Medicago truncatula: one gene and its partners. The protein of the gene in region 3 binds, or shares a complex with, the protein of the main gene of each other region. Links are inferred from orthologs where the notes say so. Each region holds a gene or a part of one and is shown on either strand. Other genes may lie near its edges. The genes, in order: THO complex subunit 3, THO complex subunit 5A and THO complex subunit 1.

The links.
Region 1: THO complex subunit 1 (region 3) and THO complex subunit 3 share a complex: the UniProt entries of both Arabidopsis thaliana proteins name them as parts of the THO complex. The link is inferred for Medicago truncatula from reciprocal best matches to the Arabidopsis thaliana genes THO1 and TEX1.
Region 2: THO complex subunit 1 (region 3) and THO complex subunit 5A share a complex: the UniProt entries of both Arabidopsis thaliana proteins name them as parts of the THO complex. The link is inferred for Medicago truncatula from reciprocal best matches to the Arabidopsis thaliana genes THO1 and THO5.

Annotation. Positions count from the first base shown.
Region 1 is NC_053044.1:27,732,719-27,739,906, forward strand, and holds the start of THO complex subunit 3, read right to left. Parts: upstream 3,020-7,188; 5' UTR 2,846-3,019; coding exon 2,783-2,845; intron 2,632-2,782; coding exon 2,536-2,631; intron 1,639-2,535; coding exon 1,509-1,638; intron 1,343-1,508; coding exon 1,251-1,342; intron 1,028-1,250; coding exon 959-1,027; intron 1-958. UniProt on the Arabidopsis thaliana protein: Acts as a component of the THO subcomplex of the TREX complex which is thought to couple mRNA transcription, processing and nuclear export. Contributes to the integrity of the endogenous trans-acting small interfering RNA (ta-siRNA) pathway.
Region 2 is NC_053044.1:50,337,406-50,345,117, forward strand, and holds the start of THO complex subunit 5A, read right to left. Parts: upstream 3,071-7,712; 5' UTR 2,965-3,070; coding exon 2,719-2,964; intron 2,632-2,718; coding exon 2,341-2,631; intron 1,499-2,340; coding exon 1,162-1,498; intron 1-1,161. UniProt on the Arabidopsis thaliana protein: Acts as a component of the THO subcomplex of the TREX complex which is thought to couple mRNA transcription, processing and nuclear export.
Region 3 is NC_053044.1:3,850,026-3,857,574, forward strand, and holds the start of THO complex subunit 1, read right to left. Parts: upstream 3,082-7,549; 5' UTR 2,922-3,081; coding exon 2,919-2,921; intron 2,108-2,918; coding exon 2,024-2,107; intron 1,348-2,023; coding exon 1,273-1,347; intron 78-1,272; coding exon 1-77. UniProt on the Arabidopsis thaliana protein: Acts as a component of the THO subcomplex of the TREX complex which is thought to couple mRNA transcription, processing and nuclear export. Contributes to the integrity of the endogenous trans-acting small interfering RNA (ta-siRNA) pathway.

The DNA of each region.
Region 1 (7,188 bases), about 24 Mb from region 3:
TTAATTTCCATCATAATTCAATGGCATTCCTCCTCTGCCTCTCAATTTACTGTGAAGCAGGAACAAGACTATTTACGGTGACAATGCCAAAGAACATGTACAGTCAAATGTGACTGTATACTTAAATCAGTGATAAGCTACATATAATTGGTAATTTGTACTCGTCTCTGTCTAGGGTGAATCCTTATAACTTGCACTGACGTGGCTGTAAGTAAAGACGATGTTCTTTCACTTCTTTCTAGGTTTAACAGATGATCAGGTTTCAAGGCATGAAAATTGTAATTCAAACAAAACAGACATGCAAATTCATGGTCGATTCTAATGATTTGACACCAGGGCACTTAGTTATGCCAGTTGACAAGCAAATTTCTATCAATTAAAAGGGATATAACTATAAGTAATTCACATTTCACAATCCAACAATTAAGCCCTTTCTCAAACTGTAAAATTTCAACGAAGATAGCTGGATATTCACGAGTTACTTTATCAATTAAACTGAAAAAGAAAGCACATTCATATTTTCTGTAAAATGATAAGGATGTGGTAAAAAGACTGGTTGCTCATAATTTTCAAGGTTTAGTGTCTGCTACGACAGAAGAGAACGGGAAATTAGTTAGGGCTAACCAGAGCAGTAAGCTAGTAAGTTAGGGGGAATTTGTTAGCAGTGTTGGCATTTAGTACACAGAGCACATGATTCTCATCACTGAGAATTGTTAGTATTGAGTAAATAAAGCAGTGGCTCAGTTGTAAGGGGAATAAGCCTTAAGTGAAGATTCTTTCTCCTATTTTCAATATTTCATTAAAATTATTTATTTTTTCTGGTTGTCTCTACTCTACCAATTTCACATTTTGCTTGTATAGGTTTTTAACAATTTCATTTTGTAACCTCCAAATATGTCTGAAAAAACTGTCAAAAAACAGAACAGACTGCAACAATGAAGCAAAAACTATGCAATACCTCATAGTTGAACTTGCGCCTGTGCATTGGTTTGAATTTCCGAACATCAAGTATTGTTAACTCGTCGTCCTATAAAAAAAACAAAGAAAAAGTAAGATTTCACATGATGAAAAACAGCAAGATAATAATAGGTACAGACATGGTCTATTTAGCAGCTACAATACAAAGCTCGATGATTCCAAAAAGAATCGACTCAAAAACATATGCTACATGAGTACCCTAATAGGTACAGACATGGTCAGAAAATCTTCACTTCCGAGCTTTAAGCAAATGAAGAGATTGTGTAACATACCCTATTACCCACAGCTACATGAGTACCATCAGGTTTGTAGGTGATGTTGATATTCTCCCCACTAAGCTCTGCCTGTTGTGAGCATTTTCCACCTGCAGAAATCAAATATGAGGGGCATCTCAATATTCATTAATGTTTATTCGGCAATAACAGTAGATTATATTAAACGTCTCCCAAAATATAAAAGCTCATAATAATTATCCTCCCTTCTGTATGATTAATTTAAAATAAATTGTATAGCTAAATATGATCACTTACTACGAGCATCCCATAGACGAACAGTTTTGTCCCCTGAAGCAGTTGCAATAAGATCGGGATGTTTGGGGTCCCAACATAGCTGGTCCACACTATCAGTGTGACCCTTCAATTCAATATCTTTAACCTTACCCTATAATAACCCCCACACACCCAAAATGGAACAATCAAATTTGAATCCAGAAATAACAAAAATAAAATAATTTACAGTGACATATAAGTAGCAACCAAAACTGAAATAGAATCTCATCGCAAAATGCTTCGTTTGTAAAGATGCTCGTGGAAAAGTTAACAGCCAGCCTTAGTTTACTCTATAGCTTCAAGTTTCAACAACAATTTCCTATCTTATCATACATAATTCGCCATGTATTTCTTGATTTAATGCGACAAGTTTCAATCTTAATGGAAAAATACTCTAACATTACTGTCATTTTAGGTCATGAAGGTCACCAAAGCAACTACATCATATGTTAAAAAGACATATGTTCTCAAAGACAAATCCTCTTAGGTCATGTAATCTCATTCATCAAAAGTGAAAATGGGCATTACTTAAAATTCATCAAAGTTTCCTACAGTAATTTCAAAAGGGCAGATCTTAAATTATACTATACCATTACTTAAGGGAAACTTGAATAGTCAAATCTTTTACAAACAGCAAAGCTACTGTATTTCTTTACGACAGCATTACAATATAGCTAAGATGTGTATTCACAGTGCGCTAGGTAAGCAACTTAATTAAGCACTTATTCAAGATCTACTACTCTAGGGAGCTTAATCAAACTTTATATTCATAAGTCATTATGGGAATCTAATGAAATAAACTGGAAACAACTTATAGACATGATATTGAATATTTTCATGATTCTATCCAAAATTCAAATACTAATAATATAAATATTTGTCTCATAAGATAAATCCAAATAATAAGACTAGCACAGGCCTAAAATTAAACAGTGACTAATATTGTGATTTATGAGAAAGTACATTAATTAATAGAAAATTAAAGTGCAATTAGGAGTAAGGTTACTACATGGGCATGTGGGTCAATATGCCAAATTCGAGCAGTTTGATCAACAGAACCAGAAGCAAGTTTTGTGCCAATGCAATTCCAAGCCACTGAATGCACCTTTTCAAACACAAACAAAGACCCGCTTCAGAATTGAAACATAAACATTGAAAAGAGGGTTTTTTCCAACATAAACCTAGATATTAAACCTTAACAAGTAGGAAAAAATCAGAAGTTTGAAGGTGTTTGGAATGAGAGAGGAAAAGGGTACCTTCTTCTTGTGACCGGAATACTCTCTGCTGTGAAGATTCTTAAATGAGAATTGTTCCTCCATGGCTTTGGAAGCACTTTTACGAGACACGGAAACTGTGATTGTCGTACGGATTCGTGGGTGGAATCGAAGCTAGGAATTTTGGGAAACACTTTTGATTCCCGCTACGACACTATTGGTTTTTCGTTTCATATCCAAACAAGAGGATGCTAGCCTATTCTTGGTTTTCGTTGAAAAAACTTGTAGTGGTATTAGGTATTTCCCATTATATTATAGGCCAAATACCTACTTTAATTTTATTTTTTTTTGGCTTTTGCACCGGTTTCCGACCCACCAATGGTGAGCGACTAATCTGACTCATGCGTAGAGGCATGTGCACTGGTCAAGCGTTGTTTCCCTGAAAATCGAACCCGGATACGTTCTTGAAAGGAGTTCCTTGCCATTAGAGTCCAAACAACTTGGTTGGCCAAAATACCTACTTACGTTATACAAGATTAATCCTTTTTAGTTTTTTTAGTTTTAAATTTGTCTTAGTAAAAGTTAATTTGATGATATGAAGTTGTCTTGACATAGTTGTTTTAATGATGTGTCTTGGGTTAATTTGATGATGTCTTTAATAATTGGTGGCTTGTTATTTAGCATGTTGTTCCTTTGATAGTTTAGCTTAGATTATGTTAAAGCACCCAAGCAACATGTGTATCTTTGTATTGTGTGATTCCTTGTGTTCTAGTTAGCTTATGAGTTATGACTAGGTAAATCTCATTTTTACCGTCAAAATTGAAGTTTATGTTGTCTGAATCGATTCATTTATGTTTGAATCGTATCACCTAAAGTCTCTGACTTGGGGTGAATCGTTTCATGATATTTTGAATCGAGTCAAATTTGCCTGAATTGTATCACCAAAACTTTATGACTTATATTGAATCGATTTAGTATAATTTGAATCGTTTCAATCTTCAGGGCACTTTGAATCGATTCAAATTATGTTTGAATCATATCAATTATCATAGTTCATTTGGTGTGTCCTCTTGTTGTCTGAATCGATTCACTATGTTGTTTTTTGCCGAAATTTTGCACTTGTCATCCCATTCTATATATATTCACTTCCTCATAACACCCAAGGTATTGAATCATTTGCATTTATTCTCTCTAGGTCTCAAAAACTCATTGTTCATAAATTCTTCAAGATTAAACACTTTTTCTTAGAATCACTTTGTTCTTTGAGTCATATGATTTTCTAGGGATAGAGATTGTAAGTTGGTTCTTTCAAGAAAATTGATTGGGCTTAATCAAGGTTCTAAAGTGAGGTGAATAATCTCATTCCACCTCCAAAGGTCTTGAGGGTTCTTTCTAATTGTTCTTGTGTTCAAGGGGATCCATTTGTCGGACGTAGCATCGAAGAGCTTGAGTGAAGAGCTTGAAGGATTGCACGGGTATCTGAGGATTCAAAGACATCAAGAAGCACCAAATTCAAAGGGTATTTGAAGTTTGAGGGAGTGGTTACATAGGGGTTGAAGAACCAGGATAGTTTTAAGGAACTCTTGTAATCACATTTGTAATTCAACATTGTTACTATTAGTGGAAGTCCTTGGTGGAAGTGTTTTTCATCAAGAAGTGTAGACGTAGCCCGAAACGAGGACGAAAGGGCGAACTACTATAAAAATCTCGGTGTTGTTCTATTTTCCTTATCCTCTTTAATTTTGATAATTGTATATGCTTAAATTGATAGGATAGAAATTGATTTTGATCTAAGTTCCTTTTTGGTTAAAATTGGCCTAATTCCTCGAGTTATGTTTTTACTATTTCACTTGGATCAATTAGTTTCAATTCTCAGCAATTCATCAATTGCATATACATTGTGTTTTTAATGTTTAGCTTGTTATATTTTCTTATAGGTTTGATTGTGCAATTGTCTTGTTTTGCAAATTGTTCAAGTATTATTAATAATTGATTGAAATAAGATTTAGCTTATGAATCTCTCAATTCTATTGCAAATCTTATTAGTGCATGGTCTTAACAATTTGTCAAAGTTTGTGATTGTTCAAAGCATATTTCTAATAAGTCAATATCTTTCAAAACGCTTTCGCCAAAACTCCGTAAACTTTTTAAATCGCTATTCACCCCCTCTAGCGCGCATCTTTATTGGCCATATAGACCAACACCCAATACTTGGTGACCTTCTATATGTATGTTTTAAATTTGAATTTCTCTCTTTCTAACCATTGATACAACCCTAATCTGTATGAGGTTCTTAAGTTAATAAACTTTATATATATAGACACACTCATGTCATAAACTCCTTTGTCATCCTCGTTCCATCCTGCGAACAATAACATAACATATCACAATTGGATTATTCCTCAATTCCATCATCCCTTCTTTAAAACTAATTCAACATAAACTATAAATCATTAATTCTACCACCATACACCACATATTACGATAACTACACTCCTCTTCTTGTCTCTTCTCTCCACTTATGAGTCCACGTCACCAAATACTTAATTGAATTCGGCAACGATGTCGACGTTTAAGATTGTTGGAAAAACACTGTAATTCTTCTATTCCTCTATGTTTTTTTCTCTTTCAGCATGTTCACAACGGCGCCCACAATTGAAAGTTTTTTTCCTTTCTCTTATCATCAAAACTACATTTGGTGCTAATTTTATTTTTATTTCCTTGGTTATTTTTGGACAGTGAATCACAGGGATAATGTGGATGCATTGGTAAAAGGGGAATAAGGGGTTTATCAATGAAGGAAGCAATTACTAAAAAGAGGTTTATCGTTTGTTTCAAAATTTCTTAGTGTCATTTAATTTTCTTTAATTTTGAGCTCTCCCCTTATGTTTTTTCTTTTCCTTTAATTAGAATTATGTATAAACCAATTCTAATTAGTTTGTTTATTGTTGTTTATGCGTTATTAGATGTGCACCTATGCGATATTCAATATTTTTATTTGTTTTTTAATTAAAGATTTTCCTTTAGTAAAAAAAAATGTTTGCTATGTTGACGTGTTGGTTTCTTTTGTTCCGGTGAAGGCTTTTTCAATAAACAAAAATGTTCTTGGTCTCTAACATTCAATTGGAATTCCTCTCATAAACAAAAGGTTGAATATTTTAGGTTGTGTTTGGATGGTGAGAGGAAAGAAAGTAAAAGGATAGAATGATTAAGGAATGAAAGCGAATAGAACGTGAAAGGAAAGTAAGATGTTTTTTCGGTTGTTTGGAATAAGTGAAAGAGTGAAACGAAAGAAAGATGTATATTTAGTAAATGACATAAATACCCTTATATAAAGATGGTAATTCACATGCATATCAACATGTAGAAATATATGTTTATTTAATAAAATCAAATATAAAATTAGGTACTTTGAAGAAGAACTATGACTGCACGTTAATTGCACAAAGCACATTTGCCATTTTTAGAAAAATAATGGTGTATATATTAGAAAAATTAACATGGGACTATAGATGATAAAATAAGGGCTATACTGTCTTTTCAGTCTAAAAATTTGTTCACTCCCACTTTCTTCACAAATTTGAGCGGAAAGAATATTTTTGTGGGGCCCATATTTCAGTTTCTTTCCTTTGTCATATGTTCCTTTGTTCCAAACAAGGGAAACTCTTTTTTTCCCTCAACTTTCCCACCCCCTCACTATCTTTCCTTAGAAACAAACACCCCCTTGATTTATATTGGATATGTGTTAAAATATTGATGCTAATTTTTATTTTAGTTTGGGATGCTTTGATATAGTTCCTATTAAGCTCAGTGTTTAGCTTCTATTTTAACTACTTCATTGATTTATTACATATTATATCCCAAGAATTTAGACTGACTTCAATTGGACGATACAAGGCTCATTCCATATCAATCTAGGACTATAATTATTCTTGGTTTTTCTATGCTTAATTGATATAATTTTGTCTATGTTAGTAATTATTATAATTACATAGAAGAAAGTGTTGTTTGGTTTATGATTTATTTATTTGTTGAACTCATTTCGATCATCACAATGACAAATCAATATGTATATATGCATGCTACTTTTTATACATATGAATTTGAGAAGTAGTTAGGCAATTTGTCAATCTACTAATAATTTAGTTGGAGCATTTGATTGCTTTCACACTCTTTCATTCATTTCAAGTAACTAAGAAGTGTATGATGGGAATGTTTGATTATTTTTTACAATTTAATAAGTTATGTAGCTCTTTTAATTTTTTTAAAATTTTGATTTAGTCTTTATTTTAAGCTTATGGAGGAGCAAATCATTTGCACATTGATTGCCTGCATCTTTGAATAAATTATATAGCTCACTTTCATTTGTAGGAGAACTAGAGGAGATGCAGAGCCCTGTTTGTTTCAAACTTACAATTCTGTCAATTGGTTGATGGAATTGAATGGTT
Region 2 (7,712 bases), about 46 Mb from region 3:
GCTAGGAGGGCGATTTCTTCATCCTTTTACCTGCTCATGTATGTATTGATTCCTCTAATGATTAGGTTATTTGTAAACACCATTATGAGTAGCTAAATCCATTAGAGGTTAGGTCTGAGAATATCTTTGTAACCCTAATTGAAACATGTTGCTGTGAAACTCTATTTATTGTGAATGACAATCTAGTTTTTATTCAATTCAATTGTTCTTAATGCTTTTTATATATAAACATGATTTAGTGAGAACGAATGACTACTGACCCTAGCTTTCAACTTAGACCTAATTGAATTGTTCTAATAAACATGGTTGGTCTAGAAATGGATAATCCTTTATTAGTGATATTAGGTTAACGTGCTTAAACCTTCAAAGGTTATTAGAACACCTAAGGAATTAGGGGCTGTAACCCTAGAAGAGGGTCCCAACTCAAGGGATTGATTAGGACTATTTTGCTAACTATCGTGAACTAGAAAAGCATTCACAAGAATAGGTGCAGTATACCAATTAGGGGAACATAGATGATTCGAAAGACCTAAACTCATCTCTCTCCTATTCTTAAAATCAATCTTTACTTTTTGTCGTTACTTTTATGCAAACAAAATAACTTCTATACATCCTAACTTACAACGTAATTGAATTATTGAGATTAAAACCAGTCCTTGTGGGAACGATATTTTTACTACTTCGATAGTATTTGGTACACTTGCCAAACGTCTATCACCCCACATGAAACAAATGCCGTGAATCTATTTAAATTTCAAGAAGGGGAACTTGAGCATTACTGATTTACAATGAGACGATGAAGTAATTTGACAAGGGTTTCTTAATTTCAAAGCAGACTTTCCCACATATGGAAAATAGGTTTAGAGATTTAAGGTCCGGTACTCCTACAAACACAATCACGCATATGAGAGATGTGGGATTAAGATTATGTGTGGAAATTTTTTGTTGTTCTCATTTTAATTTGTAACAAATATGGACCACAGATTTGATCTAATTGTATTTTTTAACTGGTTCACCGGCGAGGGACTTAATAGAGCCCTCAGTTTAGAATCCACCGTTTATATAAATATAATCCGGTGTCAGAATATACACTGCCAGCAGCAATAGAACTATATAGTATATCCAAAGAATGTTAAAATTCATGTATCAGCTATAACTTACCAGTGTCCTTGTTGGCTTGACTGCGAGCAAAAGCTTGAGCATCTTTCAGGCTTCCTACAATCTCCAGATCAATAGGTTCTGCAAAGGCCTCTTTCTGAGCCAATAGCTGTGAGTAAATCACATAAAGAGCCGGTGGAAGCAACTCTGCTGAATGATGCTGCTTTAGTTTCTTTGTATGCGTAATTCCTAGCTGGTTTTGTACAGGCAAGGATGCTTTCTTAAGAGACTTAAGATGTGAAGGGAGACTTGTCAGGAACTTCTTTCGGTTCGCAATAGTCTCCAAAAGGATTTTCTTTTGCAGTTCCAGTTTTGCATGATGTTTGCAGAGCTCTTTACGCTGGTACAAATTTGCATATAAGAAGAATTGTAAGGATATTTAATGCAATTTGCATGAAAACTTAGAAATCAGATTATCAATACAACTCTAAAAGATGAATGAATGAATGAAGGAGAGTAAGAAATTTTAAACTTCAAAATAGCACAACCAGCATACTTAAAGCCAAACCAACCTGATATAAAACCACATTCAGTTTGATCGACAGGTCACACAACACACACTTTTAACTTTAGAACAAAATATCAACTTATCAAGTAACATTGGATTGGATATAAATTTGTACATGTCTAGAAAAATATAGATTAACACAAGCCAACCCTGTATTTATCCTACAATCCTTTCCTAACACAATAGCAGGCTTATCAATACAAATCTTTTGGTGAGGACAAAAGCATGTTGTATAGAAATGCGATATAAACTTTTGCCAATATCACAAATATCACATTCTCTTTGAAATTTAAATACTATGGGCCTGCTTGGATTGGTTTATTTGAGCTTATCTGCTGGCATAAATTTTGAGAGACTGTTTGGGTGAGCTGATGAAAACAGCTTATGGCATTGTTCGTAAGTTATGTTCAGGTTATTTTCAAAAGTTCTCCAAGATAGCTTATGAAAACAGCTTATAGCTCATACAAAAATAATTTAACTATTTTATCTTTTGATATAGAAATTTCATATAGATAAGCACTTATTGCTAATCATGATAAGCACTTATGCTATAAGCTGCAAATAAGTTGTTTATCCAAACAGGACCTATGTACAATGCACATTCCTTCTAAGCTAATTACAAAATGCCAAAAATATTCAAGGTAATGTTTTGCAACAGAATATCTTATATTCACCTGATATAGCTCGAAATTGAGCCTCTTGAGCATCAAATTATGAGCACTATCTTTCGACAAAACCAAATCCTTTATATCTTTCGGAGCATCTCGGAAAAACTCTTCCTCAGGCACAAGTTCAATATCAGGATACTTCGATTTAAAATCTTTACAAGCCTTAATGGCTTTAAGATAATGACTTTTCTCGTACACCAAATTATGAAGCTGCAAAGTCGTAAAATCCACCGGCGCCTTCGCGCGTTCTGTCTGCATTTTAACCCGATCCTCCTCAATCAAAATCGAACGATTCGCCTATAAAATTGAGAAGAAAACAAAAATTAAAATCATCGAAACAGTAATTTTTTAGTTGAATTGTGAAATTGGATACACCCTAAGTACCTGACGAAGAGTGATGAAGTGAAGGAACATTTGAGTAACGAGATCACGAAGGAGTTGTTTAGGTTTAGCTTCTTTTTTGATGGAGAGGATATCGGAGATGATTGATTCAATGGAAGATTTACTGTTTTGAAGCAATTCGTAGGGTGATTCTTCGTCCGATTTGGAATCTTCTGAGGAATTGGGAAAGGCTTGTTCGTTTTGTTCTTCCATGGCGATTGAACCTTCTTCTATCTCACCGTCTTCCATTTTTTCTGTTCTTTTGTTCTCAGCTTGACCTAAAACCCTTTTCTTTCTTCTTCCCCTTCGAAGCAAAAATCAGCTTATACAAAAGCTTTGAATTCCGACAAAAAATAAAATAAAATTATGCAATAGGTATAGTACTCCAAAATAAATCAACAAAAATTGATGTAAGTTATTGGGTTAAATATATTTTTGATCCTTATAAATATATCAACTTTTCGTTTTAATCATTCTTAAATTTTCTTTCAACTTTTAATCCCAAAAAAATTTCATTTTCACTTTTGGTCCCACCTTTAAAGTAAACTCACATGTAAAATTCATATTTTTGAATAAAATTTTGCAGAAAAATTCATAATATTATAAAAATCTCTTCCAAAAAATTTAGAATTTTTTAACAAAAACATGAATTTAATATGAACTTTTATATTTTTTTATGGTTAAAAATTCATATTAAATTTATGTTTTGTTAAAAAATTCTTTTTTTCTTGGAAAGATTTTTACAATATTCTATACATTTCATTAAAAAAAAATACTAAAATTAACTTAAAAATATGGACCAAAAGTAGTGATTGAAAATTTTTATGGGGACTAAAAGTTGAAGGAAAATTTTAGAGGGACTAAAACGAAAAGTTGATATATTTATAGGGACAAAAAACATATTTAACCCTAAGTTAATTAACTGATCGAACCCTAGTGATTAATAAATTTCACTGCAAACGAATTGTTTCAAAGAGCTTGAATTTTGAATTCGATTTTCGGATAAAACAATCCTTATTCGGGTTATATTTATCTCACAGCAAAACTCTAATTACCATAGTCTCGTTTTGTGAGGGTTAACACAAATAATCAATGATTTAACTTTTATTTATATATAGGAAGAGATAGGATCAAATGACACCATGGTGTCAAAATTAGTTTGACACCAAATCTTATCCATTCATTTCATTTAATCCAAAGGCTTAAAACTATCACCAAATTAATTAACATACATCAAATATTCTCTATCACCTAATTAAGAAACATATTCATCATCATTAATTCATAATCAAACAATACCTTCTTTTTTTTGGTAGATTCAAACCCTTTTTATTTTCCCCTAATTTTTTTCTTTTGGCCATAAGCACAAACTCAAACTTTATAATTTTTATAAAATCATGATAAATCTTAATTCAGTTAAACATGAGACACAACGAGTCCTCTAAAAAAAATTAGACCTATGAGTGACAAAATAATCTAATTAGCATGAACAATTTCAAGAATCATTTGTCGAGCTTGTTGGTTTTTTTTAATACAATTTAATTAATTAGTAAAAAAAATATGAGTATATGAGATAAAGACAAAGAAATATCATTGATGGTGATGATGACGCAAACAACCATAGGTATATGAGTTCAACCATTCATTTTATAAAAAAGTTTAGAAAAAAAAGTTTGAGTATGATTATAGAAATCTGGGAAAATTTATAAATTTGGGGAAATAAAAAAGAGGAACAAATAAATTTGGGGAAATAAAAAAGAGAAACAAATAAATTTGGGAAAATAAAAATGGAATGTTTGATTATAAATTAATGATGATAGATATGTTTCTTAATTAGGTGATAGAGAGTATTTGGTGTATATTAATTAATTTGATGATAGTTTTAAACCTTTGGATTAAATGAAATGAATGGATGAGATTTGGTGTCAAACTAATTTTGACACCATGGTGTCATTTGATCCTAACCCTATATATATATCAAATGAGAGGACATTTTATAATGAGAGGGTGAGAGGAATTAATTTAGACCGTTAGATCAAAATCAACACCTCAGATTTAATTGTTCTTTCAAAAGGGTCATATACTGTAACCTATCTTTCCTCTTCTCCACTTCGTCTTCTCTCTTGCTCTCATTGACACCAGATGTAAGTCGAAAGACTTACACAAAATCTCAACCATTAGATCTAATTAATCTAATGGTTCAAATTATAGATGCTAGAATTACTTTTTTTAAGGGAAGATGCTACAATTACTGTGAGACGCTTTTCAATGTTTCCTCTTCCTTGAGCAATCCTTTCGGCCCTCCAAACTCCAATTGACAAAAACAAACGTATAACTTCTGATCCAAAACATTGAAATCCTATCAAATTAATTATGGTTTTGTTATGCATCGATTGTTGCTTTTCTTTTTTGTAGTTGTTTATTGTATGAATTAATATTTCTAGGAAGATTAGCCCTAAATTTACTTAAAGCGCTTGTGGCAAACAATCGGAATTTTGAAATAGACCAAGAAAGAGATTGGATCAGAGGAAGTGATATTTACAGCTTGATTGTCTTATTCCATCTCATTCATTAAAGGGTATATAAACCACAAATTGACATGAATTTAGTCTAAATATATGCATCAAAATCTCTAGCCGATTTGTTTGTGTCTAATGGAAGATCTAAAACGAGCACTTTGGAAAGAATGATTTCAACCCAAAAAAAAACAAAAATTACGGTTAGAGAAGAAGGAATGGATCCAAATTTCTGCTTCAAATTTGGGAAACTATGAAAGAAGAAGGAGGAGAGGCAATTGCATGTGTCTCACTTTTAATTTGACGAATATAAGTCGTTGGATTAGTATTTAATGGCTAAGATTTGATGTAAGTTGTTAGATTTATGCAACTGATGGCAATGGATCCTGACTCATATATATATATATATATATATATATATATATATATATATATATATATATAAAGAATTGTGCTAACAGATGGTTTAGGTTCATTAGTTAAGAAATTTTTTAAAATTACTCCCTCCGGTCTCAAATGTAAGCAACTAGACCACATACATCATTTATTGAATAAATTTAAAAAGTGAAAAGTTGCTTAGATTTGAGACCGGAGTGAGTAGCTCTTTTAATTCTTCAACTAAGGCTCCAAGAGCAGTTCTTAACATGCTTCAACTTAAATCAATTTGTTAGTTGGTGGGGGTTTAAATAGATAAGTAAAATTGTTTTTAATTCTTGACTTAACAATGTGGGACTTCATGCTTTAAAATTTTGAAGATAAAACCAAACATTCAGCATGCTTCAACTTATTACCAGATTATATAATATGCATATGTGAGTGGATTCTCTATGACAGATATGTGTTAGAGCCTGCTATAGAGTTCTTTGAGAAATTTTAAATTTATTCGCCATAATAATTCAATGACTTTGCGCAAGAAATAAGAATTCACATTCATGTGCATACATACACATGTTGGCAGCATTAAGTTTTTGCAGCAGGACGATATGTTTGTTTGGATTGATTTTAATTTTTTAATTGAACAATCCAATAATTCAATTTGGACACGTGATCGGGGTGAATTTAACGCAATTGATCCAGTAGCACTCAGGAAAGCAATTCTGATTTCTGGATTCGTGCGTAGAATAATAAAAATAAGAGAAAGAAATAAAAGGGGAAGCAAGATAAGGAACCAGGGGACCACTATTTCCCTCTTTTGTTTTCATGTTTTCACATAATTTTAAAAGGTATTATGGGAACACTAAAATTACCATTGGTTGTATGGATGAAACAACAATTAAATGATCACTTTCGTACTTAAAATTGTAAGAGTTTAGCAACTTAGTTTTAAAAATTATAAAATAGCAAAGTCAGTCCCATAAATAAAGAACTCCTAGGTTAGAAATTTAGGTTTTGTTTGCGAGTTCGGAAGGGAAAGGAAGGAAATGCTTGGAAAAAAAAAGGAAGGAGTGAGTGGAAGAAATAGAGGACATTGGAAGGAGGTGCTTTGGAGGCTTATTTTTCTTCAAATATATAAAACCCTTATCGTTTGGAAGAACTAAAAAATTGTATTAGAGGAGAGTTTTGGGGGGTTTGTGAGGATTTATATAAATTCTTCAAATTTAATATATGTTGTTATAATATTCTTAAAATTAAAAATATATTAATCATAAGTATTAATTTATCAGTCTCTAAAAAAATAATCTTTCAAAAAATATGAAAGATTTCTCAATTTTCCCCTGTATTTCTCTCCCCTCGATGTTTTTCCTTCCCCTCCCCTTCAAACTTCCAAACAAAACCTTAGTAGTGTTTCATCTTTAAATCTTGGTTTTAAATTACACAATTCATGTATTAGGACGATTCATTCATGGTTTCACTCTGACTTCATGTTGAATCAACATTAATTAACGGTGAAAATGATCTCTAAATTAGACGATTTTTAGTTTTGAAATAGAGTTTAAAAGGATCCAATAAATAAAGAAATCAATTTAGTCATTCCATCAAAATATATCTTTGATAAAACTCTAAAAAAAATTATGTAACACATACCTATTAAGTTGAATAGGATTTAATGTATCAACAAAAATATAAAATCATAAAACAAACTTATTTTAAAAAGTCTAAATTGAGTGATACCGTTCAATTTATTTTGAAGGGACTAAATTGAATACTAGTTCATAAATTTAAATGACTAAAGTAACTTACTCTTGCAATTTAAATGACTAAAAATGATGATTTACTCAATAAAATAACTCTTCAACTTTTTTATTAACTTTTTTTACAGTAATGAGGCAAAGGGAGTTGTTTGAGGTAGTTGCAGCTTTAAGAAGAAAGATGCTGAATGGGGGGAATGGGGAATTTCTGGCAACAACGAACTCGTGAGATAAGCATGACACTATAACGCAAACTACCAAATAGACCAATGCACATGCAGCAAATTAAGAGAGCAGCAAATTAAGAGAGCAGCAATAGACTCTGCTCTACCAAACTCACACTTGTTTTTAA
Region 3 (7,549 bases):
TGGCCTTGGGTAGTTTCATTAGCATCAATTGATTGCCCGTATTGCATTACTTCCTCCCCACACTGTACTGCTGCCGACTGAACCAGAGTGTGAACATATTAATACAGGCCATAAAGAGACATAAACAATGAAACAAGAAAACAAAGAGGGGAAAAGAAACAGCATTAGATAAGTTTATATTTGAAATGGTTTTTCTGAAAATGCTTTTCTTAGTTTACAGTTTACTTTATACAAGTCATCTAAGCATCTTGAAAACACTGCTTACTTTACCATTTGATAAACTATACACTACATGTGAATTCAAAATAAATAAAAGAGTAAAAAGAAAACACTTAAAAATATGCAAGTCAATGGTAAGTAAATACATGCACTAGCAAGAAAACAAACTGAATGTGTCATAAAAAACATGCATCCCAGATGAAAAACATGTCTAACTTTACTGAGAAAGAAAATAAGCATTGAAATTTGAATGCCAAAATAGTTAAACTGACATTAAAGTATAGTAACAAGGAAACTGCTTTACTAATGAGTAATGATTGCATTGTTCCCAAAGTAAAGGGTATAACCAAATAAGTATCATTCCATAACCACTGTATTAGCATAAGAAAATCTATAAGGTCGGTATTATGCATCAAACTGTACTTGCAGTGAGTACAATACTGAAACTAGGGTTTAGTATCTAATTAGGTCATGCCTTGAGAATGGTCTCAAGGGGATTATTATAGCCTAATTAGGCCTCTTATTCCGTGACTTAATCCCTAAGTCACACGAGATAAGGAGAAACACGTGTATCCCCCTAAATCCGGATATTCTGGCCGAATATTTGGCCTAGAGGTTCGGGCATGATGGTTTCGGGGGATAAGGAAAGGGACGCGACCTTACGCAGGCGTAGGCGGCATCCATGTATAGGGACAGTGGGTCCTTACGTGAATATTGGTGGTCCAAAAGCCATTCTTCTATGTGATTAGTAAAATATAGTGTCTAAATATCTCTCACATCTCCTAAGAACTCTCGTGTTCTTTAACATAGAATTATAGCAATACTGTCTACCTTTAAACTAAGAATTTGGCTCATGACCAAATCTTTAACAGAAAAAATAAAATAAATTTAGTATCATAATCATGCATAATAGACACACCAAAGAAAAGAAAAAAAGATAAAACACTATTGGATTTTTCCAAAGAAATTTGTAGAAATCCAATTAGATTATCATTCTTTATTCGACTAGCACATAAGGTGTCATCTATGAGCAAGGGTAGCAGTTAAACATACCACGAATTCCTGAAGTAATAGCCGTAGAATGTTTTCTAGGGATTGGTTCTCATCTTGGGCCAATTTTGTTTGTCTCTGTTAATCATAAATCAATTAAATTAACCACAACCTTTAACAATGTCATTATCAAAGTTACTAGAAAAGGAACCTCGGGACATGAATCATGAATGAACAATTTAAGTCAAAAGACAACCATGTTATATTTTTCATAAGTTATAGATATCCCATAATCAAAACCCTTTTGAAATTTAAGAGTCTCTCGCCTTTTTCCTTACTGTTCCCTAAATGCAAATCTCTTTATTTTGTAAAATCCAGAATATCATCCCATCCCAAAGAAAATCGAAAATAAGCCATCAGAATGATATGCATGATCAAGGGCGTGTTTGGATTGCCTTATTTGAGTTTATCTACTGGCATAAACAATTGTTAGACTGTTTGGCAGAGCTTATAGAAACAACTTATTACATGTTTTGAAATAAAAAGAGAGAAGAAGAAGGTTGTCCCAAAAGTTGTCGCAAAATAGGTGTACACATGTCATTACTCGTTTGGAAATTAGTTCAGCATTGTTCAATGTTCATTATAAATTTGTACTAGGACTCTACAGGAATGGAGTTAGAGGCAGTTTTGATAAACTTCTCCATCAACACTTACAAGCTTATATGAAAAAATTTGTAAGCAATGAATTTTAATGGGGAATCTTCAATGAACTAGAGGCTAATCCAAACTGGCTCAAAAGAATTTCAAAATATACCTGAGGCTGTATTACTTCTTGAACAGTCTGCAAAGCAAAACTTTCAGGTGGCCCCGGTTGTAATATGGCCCTTTTAAATACCTCCTGCAAATAACAATAAACCAAACAAAACAACACAACCAATGAATTCAACAATCGAATAATGCGCAAAAAGCATTATCTAGGGCCTCTTTGTTTTGACTTGTTTGAGTTTATCTACTGGCATAAGTAATTGTGAGAATGTTTGAGAGAACTTATGAAAACAGCTTATGACGTGTATGTTGTTTTAAGCAGCTCTGAAGGATGACGCAGTGTATATTTGGTTCCACTTTTGGAGGAGACAAAATTGGTTATAGAGGTGTAGAATTGATTTTGACATGTTTGGTTCCTCTTAAAGTATAATAGATTCTACTTGAATCTAGAAATTGTAGCTTCTGATTCTAGAATTAATTTTTACACTCAAATTTGTTGCTGAACTCACTTTTACATCAATGTATCCAAGCATAAATCACTTTACATTCAACTCAATTTTAGCCAGAATCAATTCATTGGCAAAATCAAACATACACTTACAAAAACAGCTTATCGAAAACAATTCGACTTTTTTTTTACCTTTTGCCATAGAAATAACTTGTAATAAGCGCTTATAGATGATAAGTGTTTATACTATAAGCAGTAAATTAAGTTGTTTATCCAAACAGGACCCTATTTTGATACTATAAGCTTAAGCTCTAATAAACAAATAATCTACTTCCCTATATAAACCCAAAACCTATAACCAATCAATAAATAAACAATTAATTAAGCTATATAAACAAATGGGTATAAGGGATTATCCAAAAAATTGAAACTTTGTGCCAATGTTTTCACTGAAAATTGAATTGTGAAAAGGAACAAAAGAAAAAACGGAACTTACCATTATGGAGTTTGAATTGAACACAAACCCTTATTCAATGGAACCTCAAAGCGTTGAATAATGGTTAGAAGAATTGATTTTTTTTTTTTTTTTAAGAAATTGTGATTCTGTAGAGTTGAATTGAATTGGAACAAAGCAAGAAAGAAAGAGAGTGATTTGTTTTGAGAAAAACACTAAACACCAAAACGCTGCGTTTAACTGTATGTTGTTTTTTTGTCCTTAAAAAAACTGTATTGGGGCGTTTGTTTTTGGGAAACATAAATAACATATCCGAGAATGAAAATATGAAAATTTGATTCTTGGGTATTTGTTAAAAAAAGTGTTTGGCAGATAACTTGACATTCCTGGAAAAATTGGAAGTTACAATTTTTTTTTTAAAATCTATGCATAATATCATGGGAATGCACATTTCCATCTCTTTACATGGGAATAAATTCATGGGAATAATGGAAGTTATGGGAGGTTACTCCATTCTCAAGAACCTTTATACCTAGGAATATTTTTTTCTCAACCTCATAACAAACATGGGTATAATCATTCCCTAGCCATGTATTCTCGGAAATGTCATTCTTAACCTTGAAACAAACACCCCCTATGTTTTTATTTTGGTAGGGTGTGTATTTCTATTTCAAACAAAAAATTCCAACTACAAATATATACGTTCCTTCAAAAAAAAACTACAAATATATAGGTGTCTATAAAATATTTTTCTATCCTTCAAAAAATTTTATATTTATAAAAATTTAAATAATAAAAAAAATATCAAATAATATGTCAATCATATTCAACTTATTTTAAAAATATATATTGTCTGTAATTTAAAAAAGAGAAGTAAGTATTTCTCTCTTTTCCTCTCGTAAATTAGCAATTCAAATACACCCTAAAAGTTCTTGCTCCACACGGACCGCGAGTCGAAGCATATTTGTTTGTATGTCATTTATTCATTTATTTTGTATTAAACGATGCTTAAGCCAAAAAAAAAAAAAAAAACTACATTAAAACTACCGTTGAAAACTTGACTAAAAAAAACTACCCTTGAAAAAATATTACAGCATAACTAAAAGAGGAGAAGCATCCGACAAAAGAGGAACCACACCTTTATGATCATCCGATAAAACCTTAGACGCCCTTGGAGGAGGGTGTTGAATACAAATTTGACAACTCCATCAAACTATTCCAAGTAATACAATAGTAAACTATCATCTCCACATGAATTGTTGTTTCGACTAGGCATTTTGCTAAACATATAATTAAATCAGTAAAATGAAGGGAGTTTTCAAGTTTTGTTTGATATGTGCAAAGCGGGTTGATTCGATTGCAAAAAAATTAAAAAAGTGTTGATTCATATTATTAAGAGCGATTAGGATCCTTCAAATCTCATTCACCTCTTTTGTTTGACTTAATGCAAAAATGTCTATCTATTATGAGCTAAAGATTATATAAAAGTGGTTAACTTCGTTTGACAGATCCCTCTAGATGTCACGTTGCTCCTCATCATCCTAAAGGTTATATGTGCACTATGATGAAGGATCGTCACTCCTCTAGGCTTCCATACACATTGATACTGTTATTAAAGTGAGGACTTACATTCTCGCAGGTAGGGATGGCAAAAAAATCTGCACCCACGGATATCCGCGGATAAAATCCGCCACGGGCACGGAGCGGATACCTTAATGGATATCCATGAATAAAATAAACAGATTTTTTAACTATCCGCTAATTAATGGATACAGATGCGGATTTAACGGTATCCATACCCGCGGATATTCATACCACTATTAAACAGAGTAAATTACATAAATAACCTTAATATCATTCAACTTCCTAAGAAAAAACCCTAAGTATTGTGTTTTTGTTGAATATGATGAGCTTTACTTATGCTTTTTTTAAATCAAATAACTTTATTTTTATTAAATATAAGGGACTTTATTTATGTTTTTGTTGAGTCAATGATCTTTGTTATTATTGTAGTGTATGAATATTATGTTTTGCTAAAAAGAAAAGAAATGATTTGTAATAAAAGACTCAAACCACCTATGAAATTATCTAGTTTAGACTTTAGGGAAGAAACATAATTATATGGCTCAATTGAAAACGATACAAAATGTCTCTTAAACCATGAACAACTTCTCTAAAATCCTCTATAATGACTTAATTTTTTATCTACTAAACTAACTCAAAATTATACTAAAAATAACGTTGCATGACCTGTCATCATAACCTCAAACTTAAATTATCGCTTGTACTTGATCATATTTATTTCAAGTACATTACCGATTCCAAATCCAATTGTTGCTGCTGTTCTATTTCTTCCTGTTGCTGCGGTTTACGAGTGACTATTGCCGTGCCTTCCTTCTTTTCATTTTAGAGTAGCCATCACTAACAGGTTTTGTCCACTTTGCTCATATTGATTCACGTTTTGTTTCTTTGAATTCTCTGTTTCAATGATGATCAATGGGATGAATAAAAGTCTATTTATTATAATTACTATGTCTTGAGTATATTTTTATAGAGTTCGGTATAGGATGAACGTCCTATCTATGTTAAGTTGTATGATTAGAAATTGTAAGAGAAATTATATTTAAGTCTAAATTTTTTTATTTTTAACATTGAATTTTAACATTGAAAATTGGAATAATGTGATACTCATTTCATCTTGAAAGAGTGAAACATGTATCGTAGAAGATTTAGGAATTGATTTTAAAATACAGTCAGAGCATTTTCTTTAATTAATTTAGAAATTACTAATTTTCAAAAGTCATTTTAAACTTGTAGCTGGACACGCGAAAGCGAGCTTCTGTGAGTTTTAAAATATGGTTTCAGCTATGCGAAAGTAAACAGAACCTTTAAATTAAATTTCTACTAAAAATAACTTTTCACGCAAAAATTGATTATTTTTCAAACTAAATTTTAAAGTTGTAATGCGTACGCGCGAAAGAGGTCAAATAGATTACGAAGTCGAAATTCGGTGTCGCACACGCAAAAGTGTAGCAGCCTCTTTAATTTAATCCTTTTAAGCACGAAAATATTTTCCTGTTACAATAATAAAATATAACTTAACAAGTATTCGCGATCGACACAAATTATATTCTTGTCTCTTGTCATAAAAATAATTAAAAACAAGTTAATTTTCTAATTTCGCAATCAAACTAATTAGCACTACCTTAGATAAACAACATGACAATAGATAACGATACTTTTTTTTTTCTTTTGACCAACAATAGATAATGGTACTTCAAGTATTGTGGGATTCGAAATCTTTTATATTAAAATCGATATTTCTATGCACTTGCTGACCTATCACATGAATTTGGTTATTAATAAATTTTGTCGTTAAAAAAAAAAAAAAAATTAACTTGTCAAGAGAAATACATTAAAGATCTTCTTAGAAAAAATTATTTCTAAAAATATGAAGCAATGATTGGATATCTGTTGTACTTAACTGATAATAGACCAGATAGTCTAGTTGGTACTACTAATCTTAGTCTTTGAAATAGTAAAAGTTCTTGTTTTGATTTAATAGTTTACTGCAACATTGACTATACTGAACATGTCAGTTTCTCGAAAATGCACTTGGTGATACGAAAAGCAAAATATTATTACTTTGTTAACTGCTGAACTGAAGCTGAAAGAGAGAAGTAGAGAACAACGACTACTCAACACAACATATCACTAAAATTCCATCCATGCACTTTATTTTATTTTTGACAAGATTAATAAGTTGTTTTTTTGGGGTGGTTGATATATTGTTATGAGCTATCAAAGTTTGAACTATAAATTTCTCACTTATTTACTTTTGATGTTGAATTTTAATCATGAAACCAACAAAACAGTTAAAAATGATAAAGGCTAAAATGCATTTTTTGCTCCCTAAGTTTCAAAATGTTGCGATTTTGACCCCTATTAAAAAAATGGCAAAAGTGACCCCATGTTTAGGGAAATATGCTCTTTTGACCCCTAACATAAGGGAAATATGCTTTTTGACCCTTTATCTTTACAAAAAGTTGCGAATATGACCCCTTTTTTGGGACACGTGGTGTCTTCTCAGCAATTTTAGGATGAAAAAGGCTGAAATTTTTTTTTTTTTTTAATAGGAGGCCAAAATCGTAACATTTTAAAATTTAAGAGGCGAAAAGTGCAGTTTAGCCAATTATAAATTGTCAATGTACCTTTGTAAATTAATACACATACAAACTGTTTCAGATGTGGTTAAATGAAAATGAATTTGAGTAAACGGCATGTTAGGGTTAGAGTTTGTTAGTTACAAATCAAAATAAAAGTTTGTTTAGTTTTTTTATGAAAAAAACACTTTTAAAAAAAAATCTAAAAACAACTTCAAATTAGAAGTTGTTAAGAGTAACTTCTAAAAAGAGAGAAAATATGAGTCAAAAGATTGAACTAATTATTTTGTAACAAAAAATCACTTTTATATAGTTGTTTCCAAACAAACTTTATAAAAAAAACTAGAATCTATTTTGCGATGTTTATTGTAACGCCCTAGTTATTTATTTAATTATTTTATTATGTGGAGTATGTATATATATTATTATATATGATGTTTGGTGGTTTACGTGGAGTATATGCATATATTTGTATATATGTGATTGTTGGATGTTTTATGTGGTGTATTA